Linked DNA regions of Anolis sagrei. The protein of the gene in region 3 interacts with the protein of the main gene of each other region in a pairwise test. Links are inferred from orthologs where the notes say so. Each region holds a gene or a part of one and is shown on either strand. Other genes may lie near its edges.

Region 1 (7,218 bases), on a different chromosome or scaffold from region 3:
CTAATAATAATAATAATAATAATAATAATAATAATAATATATTAGGATATTATTATTATTTATTTATTTATTTATTTATTTCTTGCATTTATTGACCGCCCCTCTCAGCCCGAGGGCGACTCGGGGCGGTGAACAACAACAAGGAAGACAGTGTACAGTGAGCCGTAACGATACAAACCAGACAATACAACATAACATATACTTATACTAAAAATCCGCTTCGTCAGGTCCTGGGGTCATAGCCAAAATTCGTAGTCCTAGTTCATTCCATTGTCATTCAATACACTCAGTTGAAGGCCTGCTCGAAGAGCCATGTTTTTAGGCCCCTACGAAAGGCCATCAAGGAGGGCGCCTGTCTAACTTCAGCAGGGAGGGTGTTCCACAGCCGGGGGGCCACCACCGAGAAGGCCCGCTCCCTCGTCCCCGCCAGACGTGCCTGTGAGGCAGGCGGGACCGAGAGAAGGGCCTCCCCGGATGATCTCAAGGCCCTCGTGGGCTCGTAGGCCGAGATGCGGTCTGCAAGGTATTTTGGGCCGGAACCGTTTAGGGCTTTGTAGGATAACACCAGCACCTTAAATTGGGCCCGGTAGCAGATCGGCAGCCAGTGGAGCTGGGACAGCAGGGGCGTTGTATGCTCTCTGCGTCCAGCTCCCGTTAGCAACATGGCTGCCGCGCGCTGGACTAGCTGGAGCTTCCGGACCGTCTTCAAGGGCAGCCCCACGTAGAGAGCGTTGCAGTAGTCGAGGCGGGATGTGACCAAAGCGTGTACCATTCAGACTAATATATAGCCAGTGTATAATAATAATAATACTAATATATGAGATTATTATTATTATTATATTCAGACTATTACATGGCACTGAATAATAATAATAATAATGTATTGTTATTATTATTATATACAGACTATTATATGGTCAGTGTATAATAATAATATATGAGCATATAATTATTTTCAGACTATTATATGATCAGTGTATAATTATAATAGTATATGAATATATTATTATTATATTCAAACTATTTCTGGTGACTCAGTGTATAATAATACATTATTATTATATTCAGAGTACTACATGGCAATGTATAATAATAATAATAATAAATTAGTATATTATGATTATAATTATATTCAGACTATTATACGGCCAGTGTATAATAATAATAATAATAATAGTATATTAGTATATTATGTTGATTATTATTATATTCAGGCCACTACATGGCATATTACTATATTATTATATTACTATTATATGGTCAGTGTACAATAACAATACTATATTTTGTGAGAATAGTGATGTGTCAATGTGACTGTATGGAGAGGAGAGAGTGCTGGCTTTTTGCTGAATGCGATGGAATGCTGGGAGCCGCTCTTCCCGCTCCCGGCCTCCCTCCCCCGCCCTCTGCGGTTTCCATGGTGACCGGCCGCCAGGCGCCAGGCTGACAGCGCTCCGGGTTTTTATGAATGGGGTGACGTCACGGGCCTTGGCGCCGCGCGGTCTGAGCCGCTGGCTCTGCGGAGGGAGGGAGGGCGCCGCGGTGGGAACAGCCAGCCCGGGCCAAGCTCCAGGCTTTTGCAAAGAAAGAAAGAAAGAAAGGCAGGGAAAAAGGAAGAATGCAAAGAGATTTTAATTTATTTTGTTTTGGGAAAGGCGGGGGGGGGGGGGGGAGGTCTGGGGGCTGGGAAGACAGAGCCCTTGAAATGTGCAATGTGCTGTGGTTTCAGAGATTGCATCCACACTGTGGAATTAATGCAATTCGGCCCCCACTTCACCCCCCATGGCTGCGTGCAATGGAATCCTGGGAAGTGGATAGTTTTGCAAGTTTTAGTGGAGAGAAAATGCGGGGTATAAACAAATAATAATAATAATAATAATAATAATAATAATAATGTTTTAATATAATAATATGTATAATATAATAATAATAAAATGTATATTATAATTTATATTATATTATAAATTTAATATTTATTTTATATTATTTATTTTATAATATAATGTTTTTAATATAATATATATATTATAATTTATATTATATTGTAAATTTAATATTTATTTTATATTTGTTTTATAATATAATGTATAATACAATATACATTATTATATAAATTATATTATTATATTATACATATATTTAAAAATTATGAAATGTGCAAACAATATAATGTTTTAATATAATAATATGTATAATATAATAATAATAAAATATATATTATATTATAAATTAATTCTTTTATATTATTTGTTTTATAATATAATTTATAATATAATATAAATTATATTATTATATTATACATATATTTAAAATTATGAAATGTGCAAACAATAATATAATGGTTTTAATATAATAATATGTATAATATAATAATAAAAAATATCTATTATAATTTATATTATAAATTTAATATTTATTTTATATTATTTCTTTTATAATATAATGTATAATACAATATAAATTATATTATAAATTGTATTATTATATTATAAATATATTTAAAAATTATGAAATGTGCAAACAATAATATAATGTTTTAATATAATAATATGTATAATATAATATATATATAATTTATATTATATTTTAAATTTAATATTTATTTTACATTATTTATTTTATAATATAATGTATAATACAATATAAATTACTATATAAAATTATATTAATATATTATACATATATTTAAAAATTATGAAATGTGCAAACAATAATATGTTTTTAATATAATGATATGTATAATATAATAATAATAAAATATCTATTATAATTTATATTATATTATAAATTTAATATTTTATATTATTTATTTTATAATATAATGTATAATATAATATACATTATTGTATAAATTATATTATTATATTATACATATATTTAAAACTTATGAAATGTGCAATGTACAATCATAAAATGTATATTATAATTTATATTATATTACAAATGTATTATAAATTTTATATTTATTTTACATCATTTATTTTATAATAATATAATGTATAATATAATATAAATTATAACATACATTATATTATTATATTATACATATTATATTATAAAAATTATGAAATGTGCGATATCCAATAATATAATGTATATTATAATTTATATTATATTACAAATTTATTATAAATTGTATATTTATATTATATTATTTATTTTATGATATAAATTATAATATACATTATATACACAGTAATAATAATGTGCATTTGAATATATATCTAATGCAGTTCATTAGCTATTAATAACAGTGTTAATAGTATAATAATTATAATATAATTATAATATAATATAATAATGATATAGAAAATAATATTAAAAATAAAAAATAATATAAAAATAAAAATATTTTAATTATAAATGCATTTAATTGGATAACTAGCCATTAATAACAGTGTTAATAGTATAATAATTATAATATAATAATGATATAGAAAATAATATTAAAATAAATATAATTAATATAATATAATAATGATATAGAAAATAATATTAAAATAAATATAATTAATATAATATAATAATGATATAGAAAATAATATTAAAAATAAATATTAAAATAATATTAAAAATAAAAATAATATTTTTAATTGTAAATGCATTTAATTGGAAAACTTCTCAGACAAGAAGGGGAGAAAGATAAAAGTTTGGATCCATTTTTGCTTCCACTGTGTGAACCAGGTGTAGAAAAGCAACTTGCAAAACATCAAAATACTATAAAATCAAAAAGGAGGTGATAAAAGCTATTTGTTCCTTGTGTTTGTGAACTATTCCTGGGAATGGAAGGGGAGGAGGAGGAGGGAAGAAGGAGGAGAAAGTGTCCAAGTTGTCATTAAAATCTATTTTATTTCCCCCCCCCCCAAAAAAAGTGCTTGTTGTCACATTCCTTTCATCCTCTTTCCTTTCTTTTTTTTTTGTCTTAGATAAAATGCCCCCGAGCCTTCTCCACCTGCAGCTTTACCAAAAAAAAAAAAAAAAAAAGAGTGAGAAAGGGGGAAAAAAAAAAACCAAATTGTTTCCCATTTGGAAAAAAAAGAAGCAAAGAATGTACACAAAGTAGGGGCAAAGTAGCTGAGGAAGCCACGCCCACTTCCCTGAAAGCGGCCTCCCGATTGGCTAAGGCGCGCCACCCATGGAACGTTGGCGCACTATAAACACAGCCGCTCGCTCTGCCGCTCTGGAGTTTTCCCGGCTGCTTCCAACGAGTTGTTGTTTTTTTGTGCTCAGCTTTGCATACCGGTTTTATCCCGCGATGAAAGTGGCCAGTGCAGCTGCCGTTGTGTCTCCGGGCCCGAGCTGCGCCCTCAAAGGGGTCCGGCTGGGCTCTGGCGAAGCGGCGCCCAACCATAACAGCAACGCCCGGTGCCTTTCCGAGCAAGCCGCCGCCGCCGCCTCGCTCCTGATGGACATGAAGGGCTGCTACTCCCGCCTGGCCGCCCTCGTGCCCACTTTGCCCCGGCACCGGCGCGTCTCCAAGGTGGAGATCCTCCAGCACGTCATCGACTACATCTGGGACCTCCAGCTCGAGCTCCAGGACGACCCCGCCACCCCAGGCGGAGAGCCCGCAGGAGGGACTTTGCCCGAGGTGAGCGCCCAGTCGCACTGCAGAGTTAGCGCGGGTTAGCACCGCTTCCCACTGCCATGGCTCAGGGCTATGGAACCCCCTCGCACTTGGAGGGAGTCCTGTACTTACCTAAAGCTTCCTGCCTACTGACTTTATCCCCCTATTGGATCTACCTGTATAATAATAATAATATAATTATTATTATTATTATTAAGTGTAGCCCTATATTTACCTAAAGTTGCCAACTTACTGACTTTATCCCCCTATTGGATCTACCTGTATAATAATAATAAGTGTAGCCATATACTTACCTAAAGCTTCCTACCTACTGACTTTATCCCCCTATTGGATCTACCTGTATTATATTATTATTATTATTATTATTATTATTATTATTATTTATTAAGTGTAGCCCTATATTTACCTAAAGTTACCAACTTTCTGACTTTATCCCCCTATTGGATCTACCTGTATAATAATAAGTGTAGCCTTATACTTACCTAAAGCTACCTACCTACTGACTATACCCCCCTATTGGATCTACATGTATATTATTATTACTAGTATTATGTGTAGCCCTATATTTACCTAAATTTACCAACTTACTGACTTTATCCCCCTATTGGATCTACCTAGAATCATAGAATCAAAGAGTTGGAAGAGACCTCATGGGCCATCCAGTCCAACCCCCTGCCAAAAAGCAGGAATATTGCATTCAAATCACCCCTGACAAATGGCCATCCAGCCTCTGCTTAAAAGCCTCCAAAGAAGGAGCCTCCACCACACTTATTACCTGTAATAAGTGTAGTCATATACTTACCTAAAGCTACCAACTTACTGACTTTATCCCCCTATTGGATCAACCTGTATATTATTATTATTATTATTATTATTATTATTATTTAAGTGTAGCCCTATATTTACCTAAAGTTACCAACTTTCTGACTTTATCCCCCTATTGGATCTACCTGTATAATAATTAAGTGTAGCCCTATACTTACCTACAGCTACCTACCTACTGACTTTATCCCCCTATTGGATCTACTTGTATTATTATTATTATTATTATTATTATTATTATTATTATTATTATTTATTTATTTATTAAGTGTAGTCCTATACTTCACTAAAGTTACCAACTTACTGGCTTTATCCCCCTATTGGATCTACCTGTATAATAATAAGTGTAGCCATATACTTACCTAAAGGTACCTACCTACTGACTTTATCGCCCTATCGGTTCTAACTATATTATTATTATTATTATTATTATTATTATTATTATTATTTATTAAGTGTAGCCCTATACTTACCTAAAGCCCCTATTGAATCTACCTGTATTATTATTATTATTATTATTATTATTATTATTATTATTAAGTGTAGTCCTATACTTATCTAAAGCTACCTACCTACTGACTTTACCCCCCTATTGGATCTACCTGTATTCTTATTATATTATTATTATTATTATTATTATTATTAAGTGTAGCCCTATATTTACCTAAAGCTACCAACTTACTGACTTTATCACCCTATTGGATCTACCTGTATAATAATAATAATAATAATAATAATAATAATAATAATAATAATAATAATTAAAGTGTAGCCCTATACTTACCTAAATGGATCTACCTATTAATAATAATAATAATAATTATTATTATTAATAATAATAAATATTATTATTAAGTGTAGCCCTATATTTACTTAAAGCTACCAACTTACTGACTTTATCACCCTTTTGGATCTACCTGTATTATTATTATTATTATTATTATTAAGTGTAGCCCTATACTTACCTAAATGGATCTACCTTATTATTATTATTATTATTATTATTATTATTATTATTATTATTAAGTGTAGCCCTATACTCTCCTAAAGCTACCAACTTACTGACTTTATCACCCTTTTGGATGTATCTGTATTATTATTAGGTGTAGACCTTATACTTACCTAAACATACCTGCTTACTGACTATCCTCTCTTGCGGGCATGGGGAAACTTCAGCCCTCCAGGTGTTTTGGACTTCCAACTCCCGTTGAAGTCCAAAACACCTGGAAGGCCATATACCTGCTCTATTGGATCTACACTATATATATATATATAGAGAGAGAGAGAGTGTGTATATATGGTATAGTCCTGTACTTGCTTGAAGCTATCTACTTATTGACTTTACCTATTCCCCTATTGCATATAGCTATTATTATTATTATTATTATTATTATTATTATTATTAATAGCTTTAGACCTATACTTACCTAAGCTTACCTACTTACTGACGTTATATATCCTCTATTGGATCTACCTGTATATTAATAATAATAATAATAATAGGTGTAGTCCTAGACATACCAAATTACTGACTTTATCCTCAATTGGATCTACCTATTATTATTATATATTATTTATTGTTATTGTAATCCTATACTTAACCTATTCCTACCAACTACTGACTTTATCCCCATTTGAATCGTATCAATTATAATATTATATTATTAATTAATTATTATTGCTGTCTTATCTAAATCTACCTATTTACTATCTCCCCTATTGGATCTACCTATATTATTATTATATTATATTATATTATATTATTTTTATTAATATTATTAGGTGTAGTCCTATTCTTAAATCTACCTACT
Region 2 (7,656 bases), about 120 Mb from region 3:
CTGATGATAACAGTATAGTGAAACATGTTCCTGGAAAGCTCAAAAATTGGAAAAAATGATAAGAAAGAAACCCTAATATTAACTGATGGTAGGTTTACATTTAGTGAACTTTCAAGTCATAAGTAGACTGATCCAAATGGGGCGGCAATAATGATTTGTTCGGTCTGTTGGCACATCTCTTACAAGAATATAATAGTGGTGAAAGGTAGACTTAAATTTTACGTTTGAAATGTTTCTGGCAGCACTGACTCTGATGATCATTATCTTCTGCAGAGCTGCACGGAAACAAACACAGCAGGCATTCATATTTGTCACCAAGATTTTCTGTGATGAATTCAATTGCCATATATGCACTGAAAGGGAAGAAGAGAACAGGAACCTTGCTCAGCCAGTGTAGCCATATGGTGAGTTCCGTATTTGCATTATCTTAAAGCCCTGTGCAACTTGCCCCAGGCTATCTGACAGACTGTGGGTGCATGTACATTGTGGAATTAATGCAGTTTGATACCACTTTAACTACCTTGGCTCAATGCGATGGAATTCTGGAAGTTTGGTGAGGCACCATCACTTTTTTGGCAGAGAAGGCTAAAGACCTTGTCGAATTCCAATTCCCAGGATTCCATAGCCTTGGATTGTGGCAGTTAAAGTGGTGACAAACTGTGTTAATTCTACAGTGTAGCTGCAACCTGAGGACCCTTTCACACAGCTGAATAAAATCCCACATTTTCTGCTTTGAACTGGAATATATGGCAGTGTGGACTCAGATAACCCAGTTCAAAGCAGATATTTTGTGATTTTCTGCCTTGATATTCTGGGTTATATGGCTGTGTGGAAGGGCCTAGGAAAGACCATGTAGGTCACATGTATACTGTGCAAATGTTGCAGTTTGACATCACTTTAGCTGCCATTGCTCAATGCTGTGGAATCCTGGGATTTGTAGTTTGGTGAGGCTGTGTGGAAGGGCCCTAAATCTCCCAATTTGAGTCCACTCAGACCCTAAGATCTACAAGAGAGACTGTCCTCTCCATTCCACCAGTACAAAGGTCATCATCCCTCTTCTAATTAACAGTAATGTTTGCTTAGCCCGTTTGTCAAACCAAACAACTGTACTCTCTGGAATACTTAAGTTCAGCCCTCAAGCAATACACCTCCAGTAAAGACGAAAGAGCTCGGCTTGGTCTTGCCCAATCAACACATGTTGTTGACAGAACGACTTCTTTCCTTACTGTCCTACTGTTGTTGTTTTCCATCAAGTTGACTTTGACCCAATGAGTGAGAGACCTCCAATCATCAACTACCCTGCAAATGAGCCTACTATCCATAAATTCCCATTGTTATGTGCCTTCCATTTGTTTCTCACAGGGCAAGATTTCTTCAGAAGAGGTTTGTCCTTGCCTTCCTCTGAGACTGAGAGAGTGCACCTTGCCCAAGGCCACCCAATGAGTTTCCACGGCTGAGGAGATTCGGATCCTCATCTACAGAGTTGAGGAGATTCAGATCCTCATCTACTCCCTGGCTCCCTATTAACTGAAGTGACTCCAAAGCTCTCTCCTACTGGAATTCAACCATCCATGCCTTGTTGAGTTGGCCATTTTATATAAGGGACCCCATTTTACTCTGCCATTGAACAAAACAAGACTCCAGTATGGATTTTGGTATCCACGGGGGGACCAAACTGTAACTAGGCAGCTTTCTAGGACCTTTGTAGATACTAGATAGCATTCATGCTAGTCTGTTCTTCTGGTTTTGCCTGTTTATATTGAGAGCTTCACAAAACCTATAATTTTTTTAAGGAACCAAACTTCAGCGAATACCAAGGGCCGGCTGTCCCACAGTTGCCGACCAGCCGGCTTCAGTAAAAGCAAATCTTTGGGCCAATCTGTGCGGGAACAAAGTCGCCTCCCCTATTCTTTGCTTGATTTAACAATGATTCTTCTGTTTCTCCCTTTTCCTTTTGATAGCAGCCTTTCAGTCTTCTCATGCCATGTGATTCATCATTAGGTAGGAAGGAAAGATATTTTTCCCCTTCTAAAAAAGAGTAACACAGGAATGGCATGGAAAAAGGTTTAGACCCCTTCTACACTGCCATATAATCCAGATTATCAAAGCAGATGATCCACATTATCTGCATTGAACTGGATTATCTGAGTCTACACTGCCATACAATCCAATTCAAAGCAGATAATCTGGATTTTATATGCCAGTGTAGAAGGGACCTTAAAATGAGGATGCAGTTCATTGAGGATGCAGTTCATTGCAGAATTGATGCAGTCTGATACCATGTTAATTGTCATTACTCAATGCTATGAAAATCTGGGAGTTGTAGCTTTACAAGGTCTTTATCTTTCTTAGACAAGGAGTGCCAGGCTGCATCCGAACTGTAGAATGTATTGCAGTTTGGCGCGCCTTGCACTACAATGGCTCCAGGCTATAGATTCCCGAGAGTTGTAGTTTTCCAAGCTATTTATCCTTCTCTGCCTCATTAAACTGCAACTCTCCCTTGGCTCTCCCCGCATAGAGCCATGGTGGTTCAAACGGTGTGAAAGCATCTTAATGTTACAGTGTATAAATTGGGCATGGGCAAACTTGGGCCTTCCAGGTGTTTTGGACTCCCAACTCAAGTTTGACACTACTTTAATTGCCATGGCTCAATGCTATGGAATCCTGGTAGTTGTAGCTTTACAAGGTCTTTATCTTTCTTGGTTGAGGAATGCCAGGCTGCATCCGCACTGTGGAATGTATTGCAGTTTGGCACCCCTTTAACTACAATGGCTCTAGGTATGGAATCATGAGAGTTGTAGTTTTCCAAGCTATTTAGCCTCATTAAACTGCAACTCCATAGCACTGAGCTATGGCGGTTCAAGTGATGCCAAAACACCTTAATGTTAGTGTACATCAGGCATGGCACAGTGGGTTAAACCGCTGAGCTACTGAACTTGTTGACCGAAATGTCGCAGATTCGAATCCAGGGAGTGGCAATGGAATCGTAAGAGCTGTAGTTTTCCAAGCTATTTAGCCTCATTAAACTGCAACTCTATAGCATTGAGCTATGACGGTTCAAGTGATGCCAAACCACATTAGTGTTAGTGTACATCAGGCATGGTGCAGTGGGTTAAACCGCTGAGCTGCTGAACTTGTTGACCAAAAGGTCGCAGATTCGAGCCCAGGGAGCAGTGTGAGCTCCTGCTGTCAGCCCCAGCTTCTGCCAGCTTAGTTTGAAAACATGTGAATGTGAGTAGATCAACAGGTACTGCTTCTGTAGGAAGGTAATGTCGTTCCATGCAGTCATGCCAGCTACATTACCTTGGAGGTGTCTACAGGCAACGCCGGCTCTTCGGCTTAGAAACAGAGATGAGGACCAACCCGCAGAGTCGGACATAACTAGACTTAATGTCAAGGGGAAACCTTTGTCTTTTTATAGTCTCATATATTACAGTTCAAACTACATTATATGGTGGTTTAGAACATCAATTTTAACCTTGGAGATGTCTACGGATGTCTCTTTGGCTTAGAAACAGAGATGAGGACCAACCTGTAGAGTCGGACACGACTGGACTTAATGTCAGGGGAAACTCTTTACATGAGGCATGGGCAAACTTGGGCTCTCCAGGTGTTTTGGTCTCCAACTCCCACAATTCCTAACAGCCTATCGGCTGTTAGGAATTGTGGGAGTTGGAGTCCAAAACACCTGGAGGGCCCAAGTTTGCCAGTTGTTAGGAATTGTGGGAGTTGGGAGTCCAAAACACCTGGAGGGCCCAGGTTTGCCAGCTGTTAGGAATTGTGGGAGTTGGAGTCCAAAACACCCGGAGGGCCCAAGTTTGCCGGCTGTTAGGAATTGTGGGAGTTGGAGTCCAAAACACCCGGAGGGCCCAAGTTTGCCGGCTGTTAGGAATTGTGGGAGTTGGAGTCCAAAACACCCAGAGGGCCCATGTTTGCCGGCTGTTAGGAATTGTGGGAGTTGGAGTCCAAAACACCTGGAGGGCCCATGTTTGCCGGTTGTTAGGAATTGTGGGAGTTGGAGTCCAAAACACCCGGAGGGCCCAAGTTTGCCAGCTGTTAGGAATTGTGGGAGTTGGAGTCCAAAACACCTGGAGGGCCCATGTTTGCCGGCTGTTAGGAATTGTGGGAGTTGGAGTCCAAAACACCTGAAGAGCCCAAGTTTGCCAGCTGTTAGGAATTGTGGGAGTTGGAGTCCAAAACACCTGGAGGGCCCAAGTTTGCCGGCTGTTAGGAATTGTGGGAGTTGGAGTCCAAAACACCTGGAGGGCCCAAGTTTGCCGGCTGTTAGGAATTGTGGGAGTTGGAATCCAAAACACCTGGAGGGCCCAAGTTTGCTGGCTGTTAGGAATTGTGGGAGTTGCAGTCCAGAACACCTGGAGGGCCCAAGTTTGCCCATGCCTGGTGTAGACGCATCCTGGTGTAGATGCTGCCTGTCCTGTCTATTTACTCCCCACAGCTGTCCTGGGGCCACGCCTCCCTGGGCTGCGATTGGCTGAGAACGCGGAAGCCCTGAGCCGCCTCTGGGGTTGCGTCGGGCCAATCAGGGGGGCTTCCGCGCGTGACGGACACACCGCGGGCCTCCAATAGGCTCCCCCCGTCGGCGGCGGGACGTGCCCTATAAAAGCCCGAGCGGGCGGCTGCGGCTTCATTCGGACTGTCGAGTAGGAAGAGAAGAGAGCTGCAGCAGCAGGAGCAGGAGGAAGGAGAGTCGCAAGCAGCCTTCTTTTCTTCCTCCCTCCCTCCTTCCCGTTTGGGCAGAATGAAAGCCTTTAGCCCTGTGCGGCCAGCGCGGAAGAATAGCAGTGGCAGCAGCAGCAGCGTCTCGGAGCCCAGCCTGGGCATCTCCCGCAGCAAGGCGCCGGCGGACGACCCCTTGAGCCTGCTCTACAACATGAACGACTGCTACTCCAAGCTGAAGGAGCTGGTGCCCAGCATCCCCCAGAACAAGAAGGTCAGCAAGATGGAAATCCTGCAGCACGTCATCGACTACATCCTGGACCTCCAGATCGCCCTGGACACGCACCCGGCCATCGTGGGCCTCCACCACCCCCGGCCCGCCTCCCGGACCCCGCTCACCGCCCTCAACACCGACATCAGCATCCTCTCCCTACAGGTGAGCAGGAAGGATGGGGATTGGTTTGGCGGGAGGAGGGGAGTATCTCCAGACCCCCCTCTCTCCTGGCCAAGGAGTGCTAGGCTGCATCTCGAGCTGCTGCCATGGCTCAATGCGAAGGGATCGTGGGAGTTGTAGTTTTATGAGGTCTGCCAAGCTGTAGCTCCCAGGCTCCCATCTGGGCAGTTCAGGCAGTTAAGCCTTGGGAATGGGGCGAGGCCACTTACTTGGTTGCCATGGTGTCTTGAGAGTTGTAGTACTCCTTAGACTTATAAAAGACTATAGCAAACTACAACTCCCCTGATCCCCATAGTATTGTACTATAACAGCCCAACTGCATTCATTCCACAGTATAGATAGAAGCACCCCATGTACATGCTTCTCCCATCTGTTCACATTGTAGTACTCCTTAGACTTGTAAAAGACCATATTGAACTACAACTCCCCTGATCCCCATAGCATTGTACTGTGACAGCCCAACTACATTCATTCCACAGTATAGATAGAAGCACCCCATGTACATCCTTCTCCCATCTGTTCACGTGTCCTTACAAAAGACCATGTCAAACTGCAACTCCCCTGATCTCCATAGCATTGAGTTGTAGCTGCCAAACTACATTCCTTCCCCAGTGTAGATAGAGGCACCCCATGTACATGCTTCTCCCATCTGTTCACATTGTAGTACTCCTTAGACTTATAAAGACATTGTCCAACTACAACTCCCATGATCCCCCATAGCATGAACCATGGCAGCCCAACTGCATTCGTTCCCCAGTGTAGATAGAAGCACCCCATGTACATGCTCCCGTCTGTTCACATTGTAGTACTTCTCAAACTACAACTCCCCTGATCCCTTGTTGTATTGAACCATGGCAGCCCAACTGCATTTGTTCCCCAGTATAGATAGAAGCACCCCATGTTTCTCCCGTCTGTTCAAATTGTAATACTCCTTAGACTTATAAAGAACCTTGTTAAACTATAACTCTCCTGATCTCCATTGCACTGAACTGTGGCAGTCCAACTGCATTCGTTCCCCAGTGTAGATAGGAGCACCCCATGTACATGCTTCTCCCATCTGTTCAAAGTGTAATACTCCTTAGACTTATAAAGACCTTATCAAACTACAGCTCCCCTGATCCCCATAACATAGAGCTGTGGCAGCCCAGCTGCATTCATGCCACAGTACAGATAGCACCCTATGTACATGCTTCTCCCATCTGTTCAAATTGTAGTACTCCTTAGATTTGTAAAGACCTTATCAAACTACAGCTCCCCTGATCCCCACAACAGGAAACTGTGACAGCTCAACTGTATTCATTCCACAGTATAAATAGAAGCCCCCCATGGACATGCTTCTCCCATCTGTTCACATTGTAGTACTCCTTAGACTTATAAAAAACCTTGTCAAACTACAACTCCCCTGATCCTCCAAAGCATTGAACTGTGCCAGCCAAACTTCATTTATTTGACAATGTAGAATAGAGGAACCCCATGCTCATGCTTTTCCCATCTGTTCAAATCGCATGGGTTCAGAATGTTGCCTTTTTCCAACCAGAAGGGAAACGTTGATTGCATTGCCTTGCAACCTCCTTGTCTATTACTTATGTATTTTGCCTTAAGTGCCAGCTATGGTACTTCTGTTTGGTCACGTCCAGGGCCTTGGTGGTAATCTGCCGTCCTCCCTCTTTCCCTCCCTGCCGAGGCTTCCTTCTTGGGCTCTTAAGCATCTTAACATCGCCTTGCCTTCTCTTCTCCCTCCCTCCCTTCTCCTCTTTGCAGGCAGCTGAATTCCCCTCAGAGTTAATGTCAAATGACAGCAAAGCACTTTGTGGCTAGAAGGAAATCGGTAAGTGCTCAAGTTTCTGTAAATTTTTGTTTTCACTAAGTTTTAAGTTTTGGGAGGTCCAAGTGTTGGAAAAACTTCAGTGCCAAATTAGATAATCCATGTGAGCTTCTGTCAGTCTAGGGCTGGATCTATCTACACTGTGCAGATCCAACCCTTTGGACCTGCATGATATGATCAATGTGAACCCATATAATGCTATTCAGTGCCATGTAGTTCATGATAATGGTCATTGGATCATCTAAATTGCATTATATGGTGTACATCAGCCTGCTATATACATAATGCACTAATGTACGGTTTGCTATGAATTGAGAAACTGGCTTCTTAAAGTATTGTTGAAGGCTTTCATGGCCAGAACCACTGGGTTGCTGTGAGTTTTCCAGGCTGTATAGCCATGTTCCAGAAGCATTCTCTCCTGAAGTCCTCACAATCTCCGAGGATGCCTGCCATAGATGTGGGCAAAATGTCAGGAGAGAATGCTTCTGGAATATGGCCATACAGCCTGGAAAACTCAGAGCAACCCAGACTTCTCAAAGTTTATCCCAGTGAAAGCATGTGATAGAGAGGATTGTTTCTGGTGTCAGCTAAAGAACTTGTAATCAGTTTATTGTTCCAAGTAGGTTCATATCTGTTGTCTGTGTGACCGTATAGGGAATTTGCTTTTCTGCCAGTTGCATGCCCCCAAAACATGTTTTTG
Region 3 (7,314 bases):
GATCTTCAATGGCCTTTTAAAATGTTTAAATGCTAGAGCCCTCATTTCTTTAAAAACAAGTGTCAGTCTCTCCAAACTGGAAGTCCCCATTAGAACCAGGAGCTGTTGCAAGAGATGGGCACTCACCCTACATGGCTGCCATGTTTTGCAACTTTGCATGCCCGGTGGCCTGACACTACAAATTAATTCTGGGCCTCCTTGGGCCTGAGGAACAGAAGAAAAGGCTTATTCATGTATTTTATATGCTACCTTTCTCCCAGAGTAGGACCCAAGGTCACAGAAGCCTTCTGCAAAACAAGGCTTGAGTTTAAAGAACCCACCAAATAGTGGAACTGTCCTATTTGTTACTTAGTTTTCTACGGAGCATTTTCTTGAAAATGCTCTAACAGGGCATGTGGTGACTCCTCCCTTTTTTAAACCTTCACAGCCTCAGGAAGCTGGGCCCAAGGTCACCTACTGAGCTTGAAATGGGGACAGAACCCACACATCCCAATTGTAATCCAACACGTATAGGCTACATTTGCACTATAGAAGTAACAGTTTGACATAAATGCTATGGAGTCATGGAAGTTGTAGTTTAACAAGCTCTTTACCCTTCTTTGTCAGTTTGGGCTCATGTATCACCAAACTACAACTCCTACTATTCCTTAGAACTGAGGCATGGCAGTTCAAGCAGTGTGAAACAATATTAATTCTACAGTGCAGATGCACTCTCATATGCTAACCAAAATCTCTCTGGTTAGCAGACATTAGGGAGAAAGAAAGAGAAAGAAATCTTGTCCTACCAGGGATAAGAAATTAATAATATTTATTATATGTTTTATTTATTACTAGCTGTCCCCTGCCATGTGTTGCTGTGGCACAGGCTGCATATATGTGCTTTGTGTGTGTATATATATTTGTGTATATGTGTATATATGTGTGGTTTTGCACATGCGTTGTAATGTATTTTTTATTTTTTGGCTTTTAAGTCTCTTCTGCTGTGTTTTTCAGAGTTTTTATGAGTGATGTTCACTCATTGGCCTAATATGTGTATTGTGTCCAAATTTGGTGTCAATTCATCCAGTGGTTTTTGAGTTATGTTAATCCCACAAACGAACATTACATTTTTATTTATATAGATGTACTTTTGACCTCGAATGGCTGCCATTTTTGTTGTAAGCTATCCAAAGTCTCCAGAGGGGAGATGGGGTGGGATACAAAGAAAGTTATTATGTTGTATTATTATATTATTATTATTATTATTATTATTATTATTATGGAGGCAGGCAAGGGGAGAGCGACCCTGCTGATTTAGGGAGCTGGGGTTTAGTTTGGAGAAAAGAAGGCCCAGAAGGAACATGATCTCCATGTTTAAATCTCTGAAAGGATGTCACATTGAAGAGGCAGCAGGCTTAATTTTTGCCGCTCTGGAGACTAGGATTGGGAGCAATAGATTCAAATGGCAGGGAAAGAGATTCCAGCTAAACTTTGCTATTGGCCAATGGAATATGCTGCCTTGGAGCATAGTGGGGTCTCTTTCTGTGGAGGTTTTGAAGCAGAGGCTGAGTGGCCTTCTGTCAGGGATGTTCTGAATGGGAGGGGGTTGGAAGTGACAGACTGGCCAGGGCGTCAAATTGCCTGATGGCAAGTGTGTCCTCTTGACTACTGTAGAACAGAGGATGGAGGGCATGCCTCAGCTGACAACCACTATTTGGACAAACTTCGGCCATCACTCCAGGTGTTTTGGACTTCAACTCACACAATTCCTAACAGTCTTGGGTCCTTTCCTTTCCCCCCTCAGTCGCTTAAATGGAAAGGAAAGAAAGGAAGGGGCCTGTCTACTGTTTAGAGCAGCCAAGGGCAAACCTGGGTCCTCCAGATGTTTTGGACTTTAACTCCCATCACCCCTAACAGCCGCAGGCCCCTTCCTTTCCCACCCCAGTCGCTTAAGTGGAAAGGAAAGAAAGGAAGGGGCCTGTCTACAGTTTAGAGGAGGCATGGGCAACCTGAGCCCTCCAGGTGTTTTGGACTTCAACTCCCACCATCTCTACCAGCTGTAGGCCCCCTTCTTTTTCCCCCTCAGCCGCTTAAGTGGAAAGCAAAGAAAGGAAGGGCCTGTCTAGGGTATAGAGAAGGCATGGGCTTAAGCGGCTGAGGAGGAAAAGGAAAGGGCCTGCGGTTCTTAGGAATTGTGGGATTTGAAGTCCAAAACAAGGGCTAAAGTTTGCCCGTGTCCAATGTAGACCTAGCCCCCCTCCAACGTGAAGAGTCCTCTCTGGTTGTGTGCTCAAGGGCTGGGTCCACAAGCGAGGGCGCTGGGTCTCACCATGCCGTCGGAGCAGTTGGACCGGGGGCTGGAGGCGTCGGAGTCCCCGCTGTAGTGCTCCAGGGCCGGGTAGTAGGCGCCCCCTCCGCCGCTGCCGTCCTCCTGCTCCCGGAGCAGCGCCTGGAGGCTCTCGATGTATCGGATGGCGTTGCGGAGGATCTCCACCTTGGGCAGGCGCTGGTTGGGGTTGCTGGAGGTGCACCGCTTGAGCGTCTCGAAGGCCTCGTTGACCTTGCTGAGGCGCCGCCGCTCGCGCATGGTGGCCGCCTTGCGCCGGTCCGCGTTGGTGGTCTTGCGCTTGCAGGCCTTGCAGGCCCACAGCAGGCAGCGCCCGGCCGCGTGGTGCCCGCTGGGCGCCCGGATGTGCTCGTCCGCCTCGCCGGGCCCGCCGTGGTGCGCCGCCGCCGCCGCCGCCGCCGCCGCTTGCCCCGCGTGGTGGTGGTGGGGCTCCTCGGGCTTCAGCAGCCCGCCCACGTGCACCAGCCGCGGGTCCAGGTCCTCGAAGAAGTGCATGTCCGAGGTGTTGAAGCAGGGGTCGTCGTAGAAGTCCTCGCCCGCCGCTGCCGCCGCCGCCGCAAAGGAGCAGAGCGAGCCCTCGGGCATCTCCATGGGGCCCAGCACCTCCATCGGGGAGGAAGAGAGAGGGAGAAGGGGGAAAGGAAAGAAAGAAGGAGGAAGGAAGCCCAGGGAAGGAGGGAGCCCCTCGCGACAACGCCAGTGGCCCCTTTCTGTCTCCCTCCCTCCCTCCTTCCCTTTCACAGCTGCCCGTCCACGAGCGCCACGCCGGCTCCTATTTATCCCCGACGGGGGGCGGGTGGGCCTTGGAGGGAAGGAGGGACCCCGCAAGGAAGGGCCGCCCCGATTGGACGCCGCGCCCTCCAAAGCGCTCCCAGAGGAGCCTCGACGGCGGGGGCGCCCCTTTCCTTCCTTCCTTCCTTCCTTCCTTCCTTCCTCTCTCTCTCCGCCTCGGAGCACGCTTTCTCCTCTTTGCGCAGGGAAGGGAAGCCACGGCGCGGCGCTTGGACAGCTGCTCCCAAATCTGCACCGTCTTTTCCAGCTATTTTCTATGGGTCGCCGCCTCCAAGTTGATCCCTTTCTCCCCTTCTTCAGCTAACGGACCCTTCTGCCTAAAAGCAAGCATTCTATACCAGGCAGGGCAAACCTGGGCCCTCCCGGTTTAAGTGACTGAGGGGGGAAGGGAAGGGGCCTGAGGCTGTGAGGAATGATGGGAGTTGAAGTCCAAGACACCGGGAGGGCCCAGGTTTGCCCCCGCCTGCTCTAGACACTAAACTGGTTGGGGGTGTTGGTGCAGCCTCTCAAGCAACCAGCTGGGCTGCTGTGGTTTTTAGTTTGAATCTGTTTTATGAATGGATTTTAACTGAATTTTTAAGTACCAATGCTATTTAATTCCGTTTTAAAGTTTGTATATTTGTAGATTTTCAACGGTGTTGTGATGGATTTTAAAAAAAACACAAGGTTTAAGAAACTTGGCGTTATACTAAATGTTCCGACTTGCAACATACTACATAATATTAAGATATTATAATTATATATTTATATGGCATGTCATATTACTAATAATATTACAATATAATGGTTTGGTACAATATAGTAATATTTAATACTGATATTGTACTATGCTAATAATATAATATATTGTGTGTGTGTGTATCTTGTAAACTGCTCTGAGTCTCCTTTATTTATGTCCTAAACAAACAAACAATCATGCTTTTGGTGTAAGCCGCTTGGTGACTCTTTCCACACAGCCCTATAACCTAGAATATCAAGGCAGAAAATCCCACAATATCTGCTTTGAACTGGAATATATGGCAGTATGGACTGAGATAGGCCAGTTCAAAGCAGATATTGTGGGGTTTTCTGCCTTGATATTCTGGGTTATAGGGCTGTGTGGAAGGGCCCGAGGTCTCCTTGTGAAGAGAAAACGCTGGGTGTAGATAAACTTCATTATCCTAATAAAGAAATAATACTTCAGTGAAGATTACAAATAAATCAGTTTTTAAGCGGAAATGTAAGCTGAAGTTTGTCTTACATTGCTCTGAATGACTCTCGGCCCTTCCACACGGCCATATAACCCGGAACATTAAGGCAGAAAATCCCACAATATCGGCTGTGAACTGGGTTCTCTGAGTCCACACTGTCATATATCCCAGTTTAAAGCAGATAATGTGGGATTTTATTCAGCTGGGTGGAGGGCCAGTGTCTTCATATTAATAGCGAGTGAATAAAGAGTTTATGGGTATAGTATTGGGACTTTTTACAATAATAATAATAATAATAATAATAATAATTTATAATAATTCCCAAGCAACCAGAAACGACATTTATCCAGCATCTACCCATCCCCATGGATGTCGGTTAACGGAGAGTCTACTATATGTGTGTGTGTGTGTGTGTGTGAAAAAAACATCGAAGTGAAAAATCCGACTGATCTTGAAACGGTGTCCTGAATTCTAACTTCTGTGATGTTGTTTACCTCTCGCGCCTTCTGGCCCTGTTTTGAGGGCACTCTCTGCCCACCTAATCGTTGCCCCCCCCCCCCCGCGCTTTGGAAGCGACTTATTTGATTCAGTTTCACCTCCGTGTGATTTCTTGCTATTGTTATTCCTTTTAGATTTAAGTGGCATTTTTAATAAAAATGAAATGAAAATAAAAAACATATTTTGCAGTTTGTTTCGTTGTTTATTGTCTTCATCACATCGTAAAGATATTTTATAACAGTCTGTTTTACCCTCAAACCACATTGAAATCGTTTTTAAAGCTTGCTTTCTACTTCAGGGCCCTTCCACACAGACATAAAACCCAGAATAGCAAGGCAGAAAATCTCACAGAATCTACTTTGAATTGGGGGTCCTTCCACACAGCCCTATATCCCGGAATATCAAAGCAGAAAATCCTACAATATCCGAGTGTGGACTCAGATAACCTAGTTCAAAGCAGATATTGTGGGATTTTCTGCCTTGATATTCTGGGATATAGGGCTGTGTGGAAGAGCCTTAGGATATGGTATTATAATTACATATTTTATATTACATGTGATATTACTAATATAACAGTACAGTATTATAGCAATAATATTAATCATATTAATATTGTGCTATAGTAATAATATAATATATTGTGCTTACATTTTACTTGTAAGCTGCTCTGAGTCCCCTTCCGGGTGAGAAGGGCGGCATATAAATGTTGTAAATAAACAAATATCCGAGTCCACACTGCCAAATAATGTGGAGTTTTGTTCAGATGCGTGAAAGGGGCCTCGATTCCTCATCACACTGGAGCATAGATCCGCTTTAAATCCGGGTTCTGCCTCCTGCAGAATTCTGGGGTTTGTAGTTTAGTGAGGCTGTTAAAGGTTCCTCCCTAGACTACGAACTCTAGAACTCTGCGGGAAGCAGAACCCGGATTTAAAGTGGGTCCATGCTTTAGTGTGATGAAGTAGTCAATGAAGAAGAAGGGCAAAAGAAAAAGTGGTGGAAAGGAGACAGGGAAGAGTTCAAGGACAGGTGTTTTTCCTCTATGCAGCACTTTTGTTTTGAATGTAGGAGAAAGGAGACTTGAAATCGAAAGGCTGGGCGCACAAAGCATTATAATATAACCCCCCCTCACATACATTTCAACTGGATTTGTTTGGTTCTGGTTTTCCATTGGATCCGATGCGAATGATCGACATCCCGTCGCAGCCCCCCCCCCCCCCGAAATTCTCGTGGTGGTCTGCAAAAAGGCCTTCCTGGTACATTATTTAAACTGTTATGTTTATTCCTATCATGATCTGATCACCATGCTCAATATATCTCATAAGCATGGGGGTATTGGGGTAACAATACAAAAGGTTTGCTAGGGTAGACCCTCTTTCACTCAGACTCAGCCCCCCCCCCCCAGTCAAAATCCTGGCTTGTCCCCTCGGAATATAGATAACTGCTGTTTTAAAAAAGAGTAGCAAGGCGTTGTCGTTTGAAATCTCTCGTTTCTTCTCTCTCAACCCTGCAACTGCATTCGTTCTGCTCTGAAAAGAAAGCGAGTCCAGAAAGAGTACTTCATCACACTAGAGAATGAATCCACTTTAAATCCGGTTTCTGCCTCCTGCAGAATTCTGAGGTTTGTAGTTTAAGGAGGGGGCCTTTATTAGCCTCACTAAACCATAAACCTCAGAATTCTGCAGGAGGCAGAAACCGGATTTAAAGTGTATTCATTCTCTAGTGTGATGAGAGATAGCGAGGCGCTTGGACCTCCGCCTCGGTGGGAGAGGAGTGGAGTCTCCCCTTGGGACAGAGCGACACGGGATCTCACAAGCGAGCAAGCACAGGAAGGCTCACGAATCCCCCACGGGTGGGCGCGGAGGGACACGCTTCGGGGCCTCAGCCGCCCAGTGTATAAGTCGCCTCCCAGGAAGGATGTCCAAATATAAAGGCGGGGCGGGGGGCTTTATGTTCCTTGTGGCCAAAGAGGGAAAAAACAGCTTGGAATCATATGGAGGACTTGCCAAAGAGTAATTCTCCAGACACCTTCCTTTCTCCTCAAAATGAGGGTTTATTTATTTATTAATAGCTTGGGGACCCGGCTTATTTGAAAAAGGCGTTGTGTGCCAAGGTTGGTCTTTATCCGTTATTTATGTGTCTCGCAGTGGTCTCAGGAAGTTAGTGAAGGCACTGGGAGTCCCATCGTCCTCCATGGTCCATCCTCCTCCAAACTGCACCAGGATGTAGAGTGGGTCATGGGGGCTCTGTGTGCCAAGTTTGGTCTTGATCAGTCATTGGATAAAGGTCGCAGCTCTCTTGGGAAGTGAGTGAAGGTACTGCAAGTCCCATCATTTTTTGTCCTGTCAGGAGCAGTGGTCTGTGGTTGCCCAAGCGTTTTAAAGTACTACAGATTTCATAATCCGTGGTCCACCTCCCCCCAAAACCTCACCAGGACGTAAAGTGGGTCATGGGGGGTGGCCTGTGAAAGTGGCAGCCAATCAGAAAGCTGCCACATATACCTCCACATAC

The links.
Region 1: the proteins of MYOD1 (region 3) and ID1 interact in a two-hybrid assay, tested with the Homo sapiens proteins (5 studies listed by BioGRID). The link is inferred for Anolis sagrei from reciprocal best matches to the Homo sapiens genes MYOD1 and ID1.
Region 2: the proteins of MYOD1 (region 3) and ID2 interact in a two-hybrid assay, tested with the Homo sapiens proteins (2 studies listed by BioGRID). The link is inferred for Anolis sagrei from reciprocal best matches to the Homo sapiens genes MYOD1 and ID2.

What each region holds. Positions count from the first base shown.
Region 1 is NC_090024.1:241,995,646-242,002,863, forward strand, and holds the start of ID1 (DNA-binding protein inhibitor ID-1), read left to right. Parts: upstream 1-4,169; 5' UTR 4,170-4,255; coding exon 4,256-4,588; intron 4,589-7,218. UniProt on the Homo sapiens protein: Transcriptional regulator (lacking a basic DNA binding domain) which negatively regulates the basic helix-loop-helix (bHLH) transcription factors by forming heterodimers and inhibiting their DNA binding and transcriptional activity.
Region 2 is NC_090021.1:129,265,638-129,273,293, forward strand, and holds the start of ID2 (DNA-binding protein inhibitor ID-2), read left to right. Parts: upstream 1-4,635; 5' UTR 4,636-4,759; coding exon 4,760-5,113; intron 5,114-6,892; coding exon 6,893-6,949; 3' UTR 6,950-6,959; intron 6,960-7,656. UniProt on the Homo sapiens protein: Transcriptional regulator (lacking a basic DNA binding domain) which negatively regulates the basic helix-loop-helix (bHLH) transcription factors by forming heterodimers and inhibiting their DNA binding and transcriptional activity.
Region 3 is NC_090021.1:247,607,124-247,614,437, forward strand, and holds the start of MYOD1 (myoblast determination protein 1), read right to left. Parts: upstream 3,098-7,314; 5' UTR 2,936-3,097; coding exon 2,309-2,935; intron 1-2,308. UniProt on the Homo sapiens protein: Acts as a transcriptional activator that promotes transcription of muscle-specific target genes and plays a role in muscle differentiation. Together with MYF5 and MYOG, co-occupies muscle-specific gene promoter core region during myogenesis.